2 linked regions of the Tamandua tetradactyla genome follow. The main gene of each other region encodes a partner of the protein of the gene in region 2 in a complex. Links are inferred from orthologs where the notes say so. Each region holds a gene or a part of one and is shown on either strand. Other genes may lie near its edges.

Evidence for each region. The genes of interacting proteins can lie anywhere in the genome.
Region 1: the proteins of stromelysin-1-like (region 2) and TIMP1 are in contact, whole or in part, in a crystal structure (PDB 1UEA), measured with the Homo sapiens proteins. The link is inferred for Tamandua tetradactyla from reciprocal best matches to the Homo sapiens genes MMP3 and TIMP1. Residues at the interface, in NP_002413.1 of Homo sapiens: Phe100, Thr102, Phe103, Phe171, Tyr172, Gly178, Asn179, Val180, Leu181, Ala182, His183, Ala184, Tyr185, Ala186, Thr207, Thr208, Gly209, Thr210, Val215, His218, Glu219, His222, Phe227, His228, Tyr237, Pro238, Leu239, Tyr240, His241, Ser242; in NP_003245.1 of Homo sapiens: Cys24, Thr25, Cys26, Val27, Pro28, Pro29, Val52, Thr56, Leu57, Tyr58, Pro87, Ala88, Met89, Glu90, Ser91, Val92, Cys93, Thr121, Cys122, Leu156, Ser157, Pro159, Gln173, Leu174, Gly177, Glu179.

What each region holds. Positions count from the first base shown.
Region 1 is NC_135353.1:122,544,350-122,551,694, reverse strand, and holds the start of TIMP1 (metalloproteinase inhibitor 1), read left to right. Parts: upstream 1-4,334; 5' UTR 4,335-4,487; intron 4,488-5,289; 5' UTR 5,290-5,297; coding exon 5,298-5,418; intron 5,419-6,205; coding exon 6,206-6,285; intron 6,286-6,467; coding exon 6,468-6,594; intron 6,595-6,824; coding exon 6,825-6,949; intron 6,950-7,345. Other genes in the region: SYN1 (synapsin-1), read right to left, coding at 191-253. UniProt on the Homo sapiens protein: Metalloproteinase inhibitor that functions by forming one to one complexes with target metalloproteinases, such as collagenases, and irreversibly inactivates them by binding to their catalytic zinc cofactor.
Region 2 is NC_135334.1:39,309,381-39,316,424, reverse strand, and holds the start of stromelysin-1-like, read right to left. Parts: upstream 3,020-7,044; 5' UTR 2,973-3,019; coding exon 2,868-2,972; intron 2,103-2,867; coding exon 1,858-2,102; intron 1,777-1,857; coding exon 1,628-1,776; intron 1,522-1,627; coding exon 1,396-1,521; intron 1-1,395. UniProt on the Homo sapiens protein: Metalloproteinase with a rather broad substrate specificity that can degrade fibronectin, laminin, gelatins of type I, III, IV, and V; collagens III, IV, X, and IX, and cartilage proteoglycans.

The DNA of each region.
Region 1 (7,345 bases), on a different chromosome or scaffold from region 2:
TGAATGTAGAAAACAAATATACAAATAGATAAAGCCCGGCCTCCCCCCGTGGGAACACAATCATACAGAATTACTGATATATGCTGAATACACAAATCACATCTATATATAAACATATGATGCCAGATGCATGCACTGTGTTCAAATACACATACACATGCAAACAACCTCCTGACCCTCAGGGACTCACCTTACCCATCCCAGAGTGTGCATGTCCCATCTTCACAACCACAGGGTACGTTGTACTGCTGAGCTGAGTAGGGTGAAAAGACAGAGGAGGTCCAATCAGGGTAGGAGGGCCCTGTGCCAGGGGCAAGAGTGGTGCGCAGGGGAACCCATCCAGTGGGAACAATGTAATGGGCCATTTCCCAGAAGAGGCAGGTCAGAGACAGGCAGACAGCAGCTAGGGGTCACACAGTGCCCTTCGAGTTGGGAATTGAACCCAGAGCCCTGCCTGCCTACCCCTCCTCCCACCACCCCCAAGTCTCCAGACTTCCTGCCCATGCTTTCCCAGGAAGAAGCATGGGATAAAAGTGGGGGACTTTCCGGAAAGGGAAAGTTTGTTTTCACAGTGGGTGAATGATGGGGAGGTGAGTGTGTGTGCATGTGTGTATAGGGGTGTGGTGGTGAGCATGTGGCAACTGGACCCCACAGCTAGGCCTTGCATGCAAGCCTTGTTCCCCACCCACACAGCCTAGAGCTACACACATTCAGAACTACACAACCAAAATCAGAGATGCCCACGCACATTGAGACACGAGATTGAGAGACCCACAACCAACACAGGCTCCAAAGCACACCTAACCTCTCAGGACACCCACAACAGTCATTCATCCAGCCACATGCTCAGCACGGGAAAGTGACCAGCCTTTTTGGCCTGCCTCCTTACCCAGCAACACACACGCAACACTCCTGGACTCACAATCAACACTTTGGGGTACAGACACAACACTGCCCCCCTCCTCTCGCCTAACCACATAACAATCAGAGGGACTCACACGATAACCCAGGCAACACAGAAACAATCCTCAGGGGCACAGCCAAAGGATACAAAGGCACATACAGCTCTGACAGGCACAGATACAAAATTGGACACATCTTCACTCACAGGCACACATATCACACCCTCAGGTACCTGCAAAACAAACAGAAGGACCTGCACAACAGAGGTACACACACATAATTCTAGGTGTTCACATAGCCGCTGCAATCCACACCACACTCCTGGACACTAAAAGTATATTTGGACGCACACAGCATGCCTTGCCATATACACAACACAGAGAGGCATACAAATGGTCAGGGACATCCCCAGTACTCCTAAGTACAAAGCTAGCACTCTTGGGTGTGTGCACACAACATTCCTAAAGCGCATGTGCACGCGCGCGCATTCACATACACATACTCGGGTGTGGGGGACACCTCAAGTCTCCCCAGGCCCTGGGCGGGATAGAAGGGATGGGGTTGGATGATCCCAGCCCTGCCATAGCATGTATGCTATGCAGGGTCTCTCTTCACGCCCCTCCTGCTGTGGAGACCAGTGTCTGACAGGGTAGAGAGATGCCATTCCCGGAGGGGATGCTGGGGCGGAGGCAGTTCCCAGTTCCCGACAAGCACAGGAAGCCCGCAGGCTCAGAGTGACCGACTGACCTTCAGACCTCACCCTCCCTCTGCCTCACCTCCCCCCCACTCCACGTTCCTCATTTCCCAAATGACTGACGTCATTATGGGGGGGGGGGGGTAGTGCTGAGAGGCTCAGTGTTGGGATGGGGTATTCCGGGTCCTCTAGGTAGCTTGCCAGGGAAACAATGCAGAGGCATGCACATGATGTAACCCTGAGGCATACACCCAGCACACAGAGAGGGAATCAAACTTTCACAATTACATAGACAACACAGATACAAAGGCAGAAACACAACTCCCAGAAGCAACAGAACACACAGGGATATACAAAACACTCAGGTAGGCATGTGACTCTCAGAAACAGACACATAAGTCTCAGAAGCACACACACAACTTTCTTAAGCACACATACAACTCTGAGGCACACATAATTCTTAGAAGCACATGCACAATTCTCAGAGGCACACACACACACTCTCAGAGGCACACTCAACTCTCAGAGGCACACACACAACTCTCAGAGGCACATACACAGAAGTCTGAGAAGCACACAGTGTTAGAGGCTGAAACATACCAGACGGCTACTCACACACATGCACACACCCCAAGGTTTCTAGATCCTTCTTTTCAAAAACAGCCCTTGTTTCCTCTGAACCTGAACACAAGACTGTGTATATGTGCCTTCACATGTGTGTGCATGAATGGACCTTTAGATCTGGGGTCCTCCTGGAGAGTTCTCAAATCTTGGCCTCTCTTCTTCCTAAGGCCATGTAGGATCCCAAGAAAGTCACTTAACCCCTCTCTGTGCCTCAGTTTCCTGATCTGTACAAAGGACATAGTCAAACCCAAGCTCTTGTTATGTTGTGGGGATTGTTGAGTGTTAGCTGTGCAGCCACCAGCTGGACATCAAGGGCCCCCACCCCCATCCGGCTCCTCAGATTATCCAACACCCAGACACCCTGCTACAAAACTTCACTGATTTCACAATGTGTGTGATAACCCAGACCAACACAGCCCCTCACATCTAAGTAGCAAACTGTGCTGACGTACGTTTCACAGAAACAGAACTAGGGTCAGCGAGGGGCTGCAGCAGAAATTTCCCTTCCCTCACTTCTCCCTCAGTCACGCTACTGACTTACTCAACCCCATCTCATTCACTTTTACTACCCCCAGGCACTCATCCACTTTCACAGCTAGCTTCTCCAAGGTCTTGGTTTACTGCCGCCTCTCCTGCCCTTCAAGAAAGTAATTTCTTCATTCATTTCTAGGAAGGTCACTCAGCCCCTTTGTGTCTCAGTTTCTTCATCTAACTCACTGGAATGTTGCTGAAGAATAAATTCGTTATTTCCAGTGTAGGGGAGGGGAATTTAGCCCAGTATCTGGCTGGCATAAAGAAAGTCTCAATCGTCAACCAATGTTGGACATTGTTATTATTATTAGTTTAATATCCCTTCATAACCAGCATTCTTTAACAAGGTAATCTAATTGGGATTGACTGAATGAGATAATGAACATACAAAGACTTTGAAAGGATGCTTGATACCTAGTAATCTCGAACTGTGAAGGCTAGTTGATGTCATCCTCCTTACTATTGGTCTAGGTGCCCTGAGTTAATCTAGTTTAATTAGCAAAGGGGGAATGGAGATTAAATAAAATAATTTACACAAAGACTTTAGGGCACAGTATACAGTAAGTGCTCAATAAGTGGCGGCTATTAGCACTATCATCTTCGTTATTATTGGTCTACTGTCCCTGAATTAACCAGGGATGTTAACCAGCTCTCAGGCCCCCAGAACCCCAGGGAAGATTCAGGCATTATCTGGAGGCTGGTGGGCAGTGATTGCCTCACCTCATGCCCCACCAGGGCTGTGGGAGGGTTGGTGGGGAAGGGGCAGGGCAGGATGGGGTGGGGATCAGTTTTCTACTGACTCACTGGCCTCTTTCACCACATTCTACTCTCTCCCTCCATTCCCTCCTTGCCAGGACTGTGCCCCGCCTGGGTTAAGAGCCTGGTGCTAGTGAGCTAGTTCAAATCCCAGCCATAACTTGTGACTCTGAGAAGGTTCTTCAGTCCTTTCTATGCCTCATAGTTTCTCATCTGTAAAATGGGAATACTACAAATACTATCTGAATTTTAAACGAGATAAACTAGGCTGACTGCCTGGCAAACAGTAGTTGCCATATAAATGCTGGCTATTTGCCTATGTTTTTTGAGGGTGGGTTAAGACCCAGCTCAGTGAAATCCCAATTCTCCCCCTAATGAATTCTGTGATCTTGGATAAGTCACTTAACCACTCTGTGCTTCAGTTTCTCCACCTTGTATTCCTCCAAGTCCCTTATCTCCTTCACTGCTTTGACTTGATTGGTTTCTCTCCGCCTCCCCTGCTCTTCACCAGAATGTCAGGAAAGGGTTTTCTGTGCATGTGCTTGGCACACAGTAGGTGCACAATAATAAATGCTTGTTGAAGGAATAAACTAATTAGGATTTCAGCCATCCCTGTGGCTGAGGAATGTGGAAGGGGTCTGGAAATTTGAGAGGACTTGGAGGAATCCTGCCTCTAAGCGCTCCATTGAGCCTGCTCGAAAGGACTGGTGCTCCACGTGGAAATGGGGGAGGGGGAAGGCTAGGGCCTGAGGCCCCGGGGGGAGGGAGAGGAGGAGGGTGCAGCCCCTTTTCCGCAGCCCAGCGGCCCGCCCCTTGGCCTCTGCAGTGATGGTGGGCGGATGAGTAATGCATCCAGGAAGCCTGGACGCCTGTGGTTTCCGCGCCGTTGCCACCCCCGCCCCTCGCACGGGCATTTATCCTGTACCGCTCAGACCCTGCCGCCATCTCCGCAGACCCATCGCCTAGAGAGACACCAGAGGTAGGCAAGGGGCCTGGGTGGCACTGCAGAGCCTGGGGCTGGGCGGGAGCTTAAACGGCAACCAGGTCTGTCCATTTCTGTGACCACGGTCTGGCTGTGGGCATCAGGATCCTGGGCTGGTCAAGGGAGAAAAGGGTGGAAGGAACTGATCCTCTACCCACACCCCCTCCCAAAACTCTCTCTACCCCTTATATCCATACCTGTGACCCCTTAATACCACAAACTCCTCCCAACCTACCAACTCCCCTAAATTCCTCCAGTTCCCATTTCCCAAACTTGTCAAACTTCAACCCCCTAAATCTGAAAACTTCCTCTACCCCCAAATCCCCCAAGCACTCTACCCCCTTCACCCCCCAAACTCCGTCAATTCCCTAAATCCCCAACCTCCAAATTCTTTAACCTTCCTAAACCTTAAACTTCCCTAGCCACCTATACCTCTCAAAGTCTACAGCCTCTAAATAATTCCCAACCTCCCCCAAACTCCTCCAGCCCCCAAACCCCAAATTCCTTACCTCCAAATTCTCCCAATTCCCCTAAATCCTCAAATTCCCCTAGTCCCCTTAAACTCTGCAGCCCTCTAATCCCCCAATTCACCAGAACTTCACAGCCCCCTAAACTCTCCCAACCCGCTAAACTTCTTTGAGTCCTCCACATCCCCAAGCCCCTTAAAATCCTCCAAATCCTCCTCCAGGACGTACTGGGGTAGATTGGGGTAGGAAGCCTGCCCAGGCCAGCAGATCAGTTAGGCTGGGAGCCTACTGACCTCCCCTCCCCTCCCTTCCCCTCCCCTCCCCTCCCACAGAACACATCATGGCCCCCTGCACATCCCTGGCCTCTGGTATCCTGTTGTTGCTGTGGCTGATAGTCCCCAGCAGAGCCTGCACCTGTGCCGCACTCCACCCGCAGACAGCCTTCTGCACCTCGGACCTTGGTGAGTGTGCACCCCATGCTGCCCATACACTCCATGTTTCTGTTCCCTCTTAGTCTGATTAGGTTGACAGTGGCACACCCAGCTGAAGAACAAGATTCCACCCATCCTTCCACTTACTCTGCTCTAGCCACACTGGTCTCCTCCCACTTACGTGAGTACACCAGGCTCAGTCCCACCTCAGGGCCCTTATACTGGCTGCTCCCTCTGCCTGGTACACCCTTCCCTCCGGGTATCCATATGGGTGACTGCCTCAAATGTCACCTTCTCAGGGCAGCCTTCCCTGACTGCCCTATTTAAAAATTTAGCCCCTGCTCCCTAGTACTCCTGAACAGCCCCCCTCCCCCACCTCTGGAATTCTCTACCACACTTAATACCTTCCAACATCCCATATACTTATTTATTTTGCTTGTTTCTAGTCTGTCTCCCCCCTTGGCTAGCATGTGAACTCCACAAGGGAAGGGATTTTTGTGTTTTGTTCACTGTTGTGTCCCTACCACCCAGAACAGTGCTTGGCACAGAGTGGGTGCTCCAAAATATTTGTGGGGAAAATGACAAAGGGATATATGAACAAGGCTTAGAGCAGTGCCTGGCAAAGAGTAGGCTGTCAATATTCGGATGGATCCATTAACCGGATGGATCCATTAACAAAGGCATAAAGCGCTAGTGTGCTGTTGGCCAGTCAGTAATCCCTATTTAAGAATGTGCTCTGCTAGTTTTATTATTGTGATTATTTAATTTTTATTGTCTGCGTGCCGTCCATTTGACTCCTTTCCCTTTTCTCCTGCAGTCATCCGGGCCAAGTTCGTAGGGCCCGCAGAAATCAACCAGACCTCCCTACACCAGCGTTATGAAATCAAGATGACCAAGGTATTCCTCCTACCCGTTCCCCAGCAATTCCTAACATCTACCTCCCCATCAAAATAGAAGCCTGAGGCTACAGGTCGAGGAGGAAGTTGGCTGTGATCTCAGGATGTTGTAGGACTTCAGCAGAACATGGAGCGGGAGATTATATCAGTAAAACAGAGATTTTTCCCTTCATCCATCAACAGATGTTCAAAGGGTTCGATGCCTTGGGGGATGCTCCTGATATCCGGTTCATCTACACTCCAGCCATGGAGAGCGTCTGCGGATACTTCCACCGGTCCCAGAACCGAAGCCAGGAGTTTCTCATCGCTGGTGAGGTCCCTCCCTGTGCCACGCCAACCCATAGCTCGGACGTTGCCTAGCAACCGCGGGGAGGGGGAGCGAGGTTTTCAAAGATCCCAGTTGAAACGGGGACCGCCCTAATTTCAGCCTATCAGAAGGCAGGGGCTTTCGTGCACGAGGGACGCCAATCAGGCGCCGCCCTTGCCCTGGGCCAGCCAATCAGAAGCTTCCTGTTGACTCTCTCCCTCTGCCCGTTCCAGGACGCCTGCAGGAGGGAGGCTTGTACATCACTACCTGCAGCTTCGTGGTTCCCTGGAGCAGTCTGAGCTTTGCTCAGCGCCGGGGCTTCACCAAGGCCTACTCTGCTGGCTGTGAGGAGTGCACAGTGAGTGCTTGGGCCCTGCTGTCATCCTGGAGATAGTTCCTTGGGCTCGTCCCCAAACCCTGGGATTGTTTCTTACTCCTCTGGCGACTTCTTATCCCTAAGGCTGCTCCCCAAATCCTAGGACCTTCCCTGATCTCTCGCTATTCCCCCAAACTTGAGGCTATTTCCTTGGAAATTCTGATTGTTCCCTTGCCCTGTGTCTGATACCTTGGGATTGGCTGTTCCCTGTTCTTCCCACTCTTTCTTGCGACTTTTCTCCAGTCCCTCTGTCTGTCCCAACCTTCTGGATTCCCTGGAATGTTCTCCAAGAACCCCAAGTGCTATTCCTCAAATCCACTGATTGTATTCTAGCACATCTGATTGTTGCTCTGCTCTACAACCTTGACTTTCCTGACA
Region 2 (7,044 bases):
GGAAGACTAAATGTTTCTCAGGACTTATATTTGAAATCGGTCTTTGAGATAAAGTTTCCAGCTACATCCTATTCTGCCCTCACTTCCACCCAACCATCCTACTCCCACTTTCCCACTGCAAGTCTCAGAAGCCTACTGGTTCTCAAGAACCAGATCCCTTTTCTTATATTCAGGAGTAGAAGGAACTCAATTATTCAGCATATCAATAATATTTCTTTTCATATGTCAATTAAAATATAAAGCCAAACACTGTCTCAGGGTAGGAATACTGAATCACGGTTTGTACATTTCAATCTGAAATCCTTAAACAAGGATTCTTATCTTACTTTCCATTAGGATCTTGCCCTGCCTGATTTTTCAGACTCATCATCATTATTAAATACATGTTGAGTCCAAAAAGATTAACAATGATTGATGCATAGGATAAAAAAAACTGGTTTAAAACATAACATGCCCAGTCATGTCTCACATTTCTCACACATTAAAAAAAAGAACTATTTTGGCCACACAAACAGTGGCTGTACTCAGATTTTAAAACAATGAGAAGAACCAAAAAACAATATAATAGTGAAATTAGAAAGAATTGTGTAATTATGATTGACACAGCAAGTAAATCTACTTTGTAAGTGTTATGCGTGTTACCCATGACCCTAGGAAAGTTCTCAATTGAGACTTTGAGGGAAGAAGTTTTGATTCAATCAAACCAATAATTTTATCCAGCACTAACTTCACATTTGTATTCTCCATGGAGACTCTGTTTGCATTTCCATTATAAATCCCAACCAAATCTTAGAAAGAGCATTATTTGTTTGAATGCTTTGGAAATCCTTCCTCAAAGTCTACATTATGAACTGAGAAACAATCTTTTACCTGAACAGTTTGACAACATATTTGGGGGTTAATCTTCATTAAAAATCCATGAAAACACTGCTTAACTTTGAAGAGTAAAATGTGATTTAACCAGAATAACCTAAAAGGGAACCTCAGTTTCTGATTTCTGTTTTGAAGAGGAAAGAAGTAAAGGGGAAAATACACAAAAAATATCACGGGTACATCTTAGGGTCAGTGTAGATTTAATGTAATACACTATCCGTTGGATAAATTAAATTCAACATAATGAGAAATTGCCCTTAATAACAATGGCGCTAAGATCCCCCGGGTCCATGATCATCAAAGAAAGACGCAATTTTTCTTCTTATATAGTGCTTACCAAGTCAGGAAATAAACTCCTTAGAGATCTGAAAGTATTTTCAGTAACAATTAAAATTAAAATTCTGATGCTCCCTTACCCATTGGAAAATCCAGAGCAATCATTTCTTGAGCATTCATGGTTATGGTTTTCCAAATATAAAAACAAATTAATGTCAAAATCATCCTGAGGGGTGCTTAACTCACCTACTTTATCCTCTGTCCACTGTTCATCATCATCAAAGTGAGCATCTCCGTAAAATCCCGGGCCGGGTGGGTAGGCATGGGCCAAAACTTTTCCAGGACCATCGAAAGGGAAAAAATCTCCATGTTCTAGACAGGGAAAAAAATTATTGGACAGGTAGATAATTAGGATTTTATTTTTAACCTTTTCCAATAAAACAACACCAAACAAATAGATACATTTTATGTTTTTTACCTTTAACTGCAAAAGAGATCATTATGTCAGCCTCTCCTTCATTCACCCTGGAGAATGTGAGAGGAGTGACCTCCTCCCAGACTTTCAGAGCCTTCTCTATGGCCGAATCAATAGCCTCCCTTGGAAGATCCAATGTATATTTCACAATCCTGTAAGAGGAAAACATTTTCTCCAGTGATAGTAACTTACAAAGTTTTGATATTATGTGAAAATCTCTTTGGTCCCGTTACCTGTAAGTGAGGTGAGTTTTCCTCCACTTTGGGACTCCGGGAAAGGTATCGAATTGACCAACGTCAGGAACTCCACACCTGGGCTTGGCCATCACCTCCAGCGTGTTGGAGTCCAGCCTCCCCGTCACCTCCAATCCAAGGAACTTCTGCATTTCTTCAATTTTTTTCACAACAGGACCACTGTCCTTTCTTCTAACAAACTGCCTCACATCTTTTGTAAGATTGTAGTACTTTTCAAGGTATTGCTAATGGAATAAGTATAATTTTAGGTTATTCTTTTTTTGCTTGTCTTCATGATAATTTGGACAATTGCTCATATTCTTCATTTATTTGAAACATTCCTCTAGCTTGTTGAAACATCAATAAATATAATATTTCCATTGATTTCTTCAAGTAAAGCCTCCCCTTCATGCCCTCAATTAAAGCCTGCTTCCCCTCTGTGTTGCAGTGAACGTGAAATGGAAAAGAGGGGCAAACATCCAGCTCACTTAAAGGAAATAAGACCTATAAAGGAAACCTCTTTTGGCTTAATTGTATATTTCAGGTAAATTTACTCACTTTCCTCAATTTTCTCCTTTATACTGCTCACAAGTATCTGGCTTAAGAAAAAAGTAAGACAAGTCCTTTTGCCTAAATATATGCTAGCCATATAAGTATTTAGCTAAAATTACATTTGAGTATCAAAATACCTAAAGAAGGTCCAAGGCAAGAGATGTTTCATAACCTCTCCATTTATTCATGTGTCTCAAGTCAGATGCTGCTGCTATAGAGCACTGTGTGATCCAGACACCACACCTAACATTTCTGGCCTTCATTTCTTCCTACCTAAAAGAAGGAGCCTGGACAATGTGATTCTGAGATCTTTCCTCATCCAACATTGTATTATCCTATATCCCTGAACTATTCTACACCATAAGCTAGACGCATCCTGTGTAGGTTTTAAAGATGGGCAAGAGATAATTTCATCAGATGGCCCTTCCGGTGGGTGTGACAGCTGCCTCCACAATTACCTGAACAAGATCCATGCTGGTGTCTTCATCCTTGGTTGCTCCACCTAGAGGATAGGCTGAGCACACTGCTACCCACAGCAGCAGCAGGACTGGAAGCGTCTTCATTTCCACTGGTCTTCCTCAGCTCTACGTTGTCTTAACACCTCGTTCTCTGCCTGCCTCCTTCTAAGTCCACCCTCTGAAGACCAACTTTTATAGAGTGACAGTGTTTGCTTAGATCACCCACAACTTGACTCATGATTTTTTCATCCAACTGACAGCAGGACCATTTCCAAAAATTCTGAATTCAAGTAGAATGATATAACCTACTTTACTAATTTCTCTCAACCTTTCCAATTTTGCCAGGCAAAACAGTGATTAATCTCCAGGAAATGCTTCCTGTTCTGGTAAAGGAGAAAACTGGGATTTTTTTTTCACTCTAGGGGAAAAAAAAAATCACTGGAATTTACTAGACAATTTATGTTTGTGTGTATGAGAGGAGAAACAGGATGACTTGGTAAAAAGAATTGTGCAGAACTTGGAAATGCAGTTTATTTAAGAGCACTTTAAAAATTAAATACAATGTAATATTACATAGGAAGATGAAAAGCGATTGTCTATGCTGTATACTATTACACTCTGTCTTTGCTTTGAAAACCTGCTATTGATATTTTGCTTGGATTTGCTAGTTTTGGAGGAGGAAATATTCAAAGGTAGGATAGGGTAAAGAGGGTTTATGATGAAGAAAGAGATGTGTCCATTCTTTTGTCTTTAATTCTGTACCAAGTTTATTAATGAGTAATAAACCCATAATAGCTACTACATCAATTCCCTCATAGAATTGAAATGAAATAAGTGCTCAGTGAAGCAAAATGCTCTTCTGTCTTTATCTTCTATTTTTCTTATCTCTTTCAATCTCATTTCCTCCTCCCTAAATTCAAATTAGTAGGTGTTGAAATTAGAAGAGAAAAGCCATCCTAAATTCTTTCCCCATGCTCACTCGACATTTTCCTTGCTTTCTCTTCCCTTTTCTTCCCTTCTGTTCAAGTAGAGTATGATTCATTTCATTGGCTTGTGATAAATGCTCACAGGAAAGACCCTAACCATTCACAGATGAAAAAATTGTGTTAAACATTTTACAATTCTTATTACAACTACCACCTCCAAACCTCCTTCCCTGATCACTACACTTTGTTTTTTGCCTTTTTTGCTTTTTTGTTTTCGGAAGGGCAAAACGTCCTGAGACCTGAAGATCAGACATGTGTTGAGGCTTGGCTGTGCACTAAGCTGGCCAAGTCATCTTGTCACTTGTTGGGTAAAAAGTCTGCACTGTAGCATGGAGCATGGCCCACATGTCAGCTTTTAAAATAACTTCAAAGACTTTTTCTGAGAAGTTATTTTATTCAATGGTGTCTTATATATGCCTCTGCTGTTGTGTTTTTCATACTGAAAGTGTAGTGTGATAGCTTTATTTATGTCTTCCTATTTTACTAATGCTTCTTGAAGATATGTATTTTTCTCTTTATTTCTATACTCTTAGTACTTACCATAGTACCTGACATATAGTAGGTACCCCAAAATTGCTCACATAATATGTTAATTATGAATGCAAGGCTTAAAGCAAAAATCATAAATGTGAATGAAAAGTTTAAAAAATTTCACAAATCATGCAGATGTTTCTAAATTCCCAGATTTTGCATATCATATTTTCCAAATATCCTAACAACTGAATTCTTACAATGTTTTATTTCCATAGAAAAAGATTCACGCTGTCTTCGTAAGTCTCTGTAGTACAAGAATGAATTGAAGATTTATATACTCAAAATCCTCATTCATATCTCTTCAGGATATCCAAACCAAGATTATAGAACCAGGGAGTTTACTGATAATGCAAGAAGTAGATTGTATTTTGAAGTCAAAATTTAAAAGGGCAATGCATTAGAGAAAGAATAGGTAAATTAAAGAGTCATTTAGTGGAACAAGGAAAGGAAAGAGAAAGAGAGGAAGGGAAGAAGGGGAAAAAACAGGAGTGAGGAGAGAAGGAAAGGAAAAGAACAGAAGAAGGAAAGAGAGGAAGAGAGAAAGAGTAAATATACCCAATGTAGAGGAGAGCTATGAACACTAGATTTAAAAAATTGGGTTTTCACAGAAATGAAAATGTTCCATAGAACATCCCTGTGCTTTGGTGGCTGAATATATACAGAAAACAGATAATGGTTGGTTTTATAAGTTTGACTTCCCAGGAATCTAGAGGGCTCGAATTAAATTAAAATTAAAATTTATCAGATCAAAACTTAGATTCAAAAACTGGCAGTTAGTCCAGGCAACATTCAATGGGACAACTTTTCACATTCGTCTCCATGTTTATCTTGCTTCTCCATGACTAATCAGACAAGACAAAGTCTGATCATTGCTTCCTCCGGTTGATATTATCATTCTTTCAGATATGCATTCATTTATTGAGTGTCTGAGTCTTACATGCTTAAAAATATCTAAGTGAAGATTGTGGATTTGGAGATAAAATCTAAAAGAGAAATTTCAAGAAATTAACTATTTAGAAAGGAAAGATTAAAAGGAAGGAAGGGTTAGATGGGAAGCAGGAAAGAAGGGACCATGAAGGTAGGGGAAGGAAGGAGTAGAGGAGATGATCCCTGCATAACTTATTTTATAAGGCATAAAGTGAGAATTTGTATAGGAATTAAGCAGAAAAAAAGGTGTTTTCTTTCCAAAAACCCATGATAAATTGGCAGAATTGAGCCTGGAATGATTTGGATGGGAAGGACAATCCAGGAACAGAATAAACAACAATGTAGAGTCAATTGAGTTGAGAGTCTACTTGGGAAATAGCAGAGTTACTTTTTTTTTTTTTAATTATCTGACTTTATTTAGCATATTTTATCCAGGTAATATTTAATATGTACAGTTATCAAAAAATATTGGGTGCTTTCCAAGGAAAGTGTTTCTTTCTGGAGCTGTACACTAAAGTGTATGAGTACCAATTAAACAGTTGTCTTTTTAATTTTCAAATTCAAAAGTGTGGTAACATCAAGCTCTTGAAAAATAGAGCCTCCTTCTCTGTAATTCATGATATAGATAGTTTGAGTTTATAGAAGTTGCAGTTGCCAATTCCGTTCCTGCAAGCTCTCACACCTGACGTTGTAGAACTGACAATTCAGATAGAATTCATCTTATCCAGTCAACTTTCCTTCCAGGAAAGGAATCCACTGGTTGTCAGAGATTACAAAACTAATAAGAAGCAGAGCCTGGACTAAGAATTCATTCTTAGAAAGACTTGGGTGAGCTAAATAAGGGACACAAATCCCATAGAACTTTAGTCATATCTAAAACAACCCTTTTCTCTCTTTCTGTTTAACATTGGATTGAATCCCAACAGTTCTTCCATAGTTCCAAACATATTTAGTGATTTGGGTGCTCTGGAAACAAAATCATTCCAAAGATTGCAGTTTATCACCAATCACTGATGGTCAGTGCTATTCATGCTTCTTTTCTCCAGAGATGTTTCGACTTTGGCAACTTTTCTTCCCATTCCTCTCTACTCATAATAGACCTATGTTAAGGGAGTCTGCTCTTTGAAATTCCACATCAGCAGAGCGAGCTGACGTGACATCAATACCTACAAACCTCCAACATTTGAATTTGGGGTAGCTCATTCCAGTCAGATTTATCATGTATCCTGCTCTGTTCATTTGAACAGTCACTGGTTCCAAGACTAGCTTTTGCAAAGGAGTTGTAAATTACTTCAGGGGTGCTAGTATCCCAAGCAGCAGTGAGATTTCTCAACACTTCAAGAATATGCTTTGTAATGCTTCACAAAATGTACCATGGGGATTTAGTATATCTACACATATCTACACATGTTACAAAGGCAGTCAGAATTCTACACATGTGTTTTAATTTAAACCCCAGTAAGTGGGTGTAGCACATTTATCAATCAGTAAAAGAATGTTCAAATTCTAGCAAGTCATTGTTTTTCTTTAATTGCAGAAGTCATTTCCCAAACAACCTGCCAGGCATCAGTTTATTTTTTCAACTTTACATATACAAAGGAAAGTTGCTATGTAAAGGAAATTTTTGAATTTCCATATAAGTGATTCTAATTTTGTGCTACTTCTCCTTGCAGAAAAGAAAGACAAATAGCATATTATTATATATTTTACTCCAGGGCAACATTTCTCTG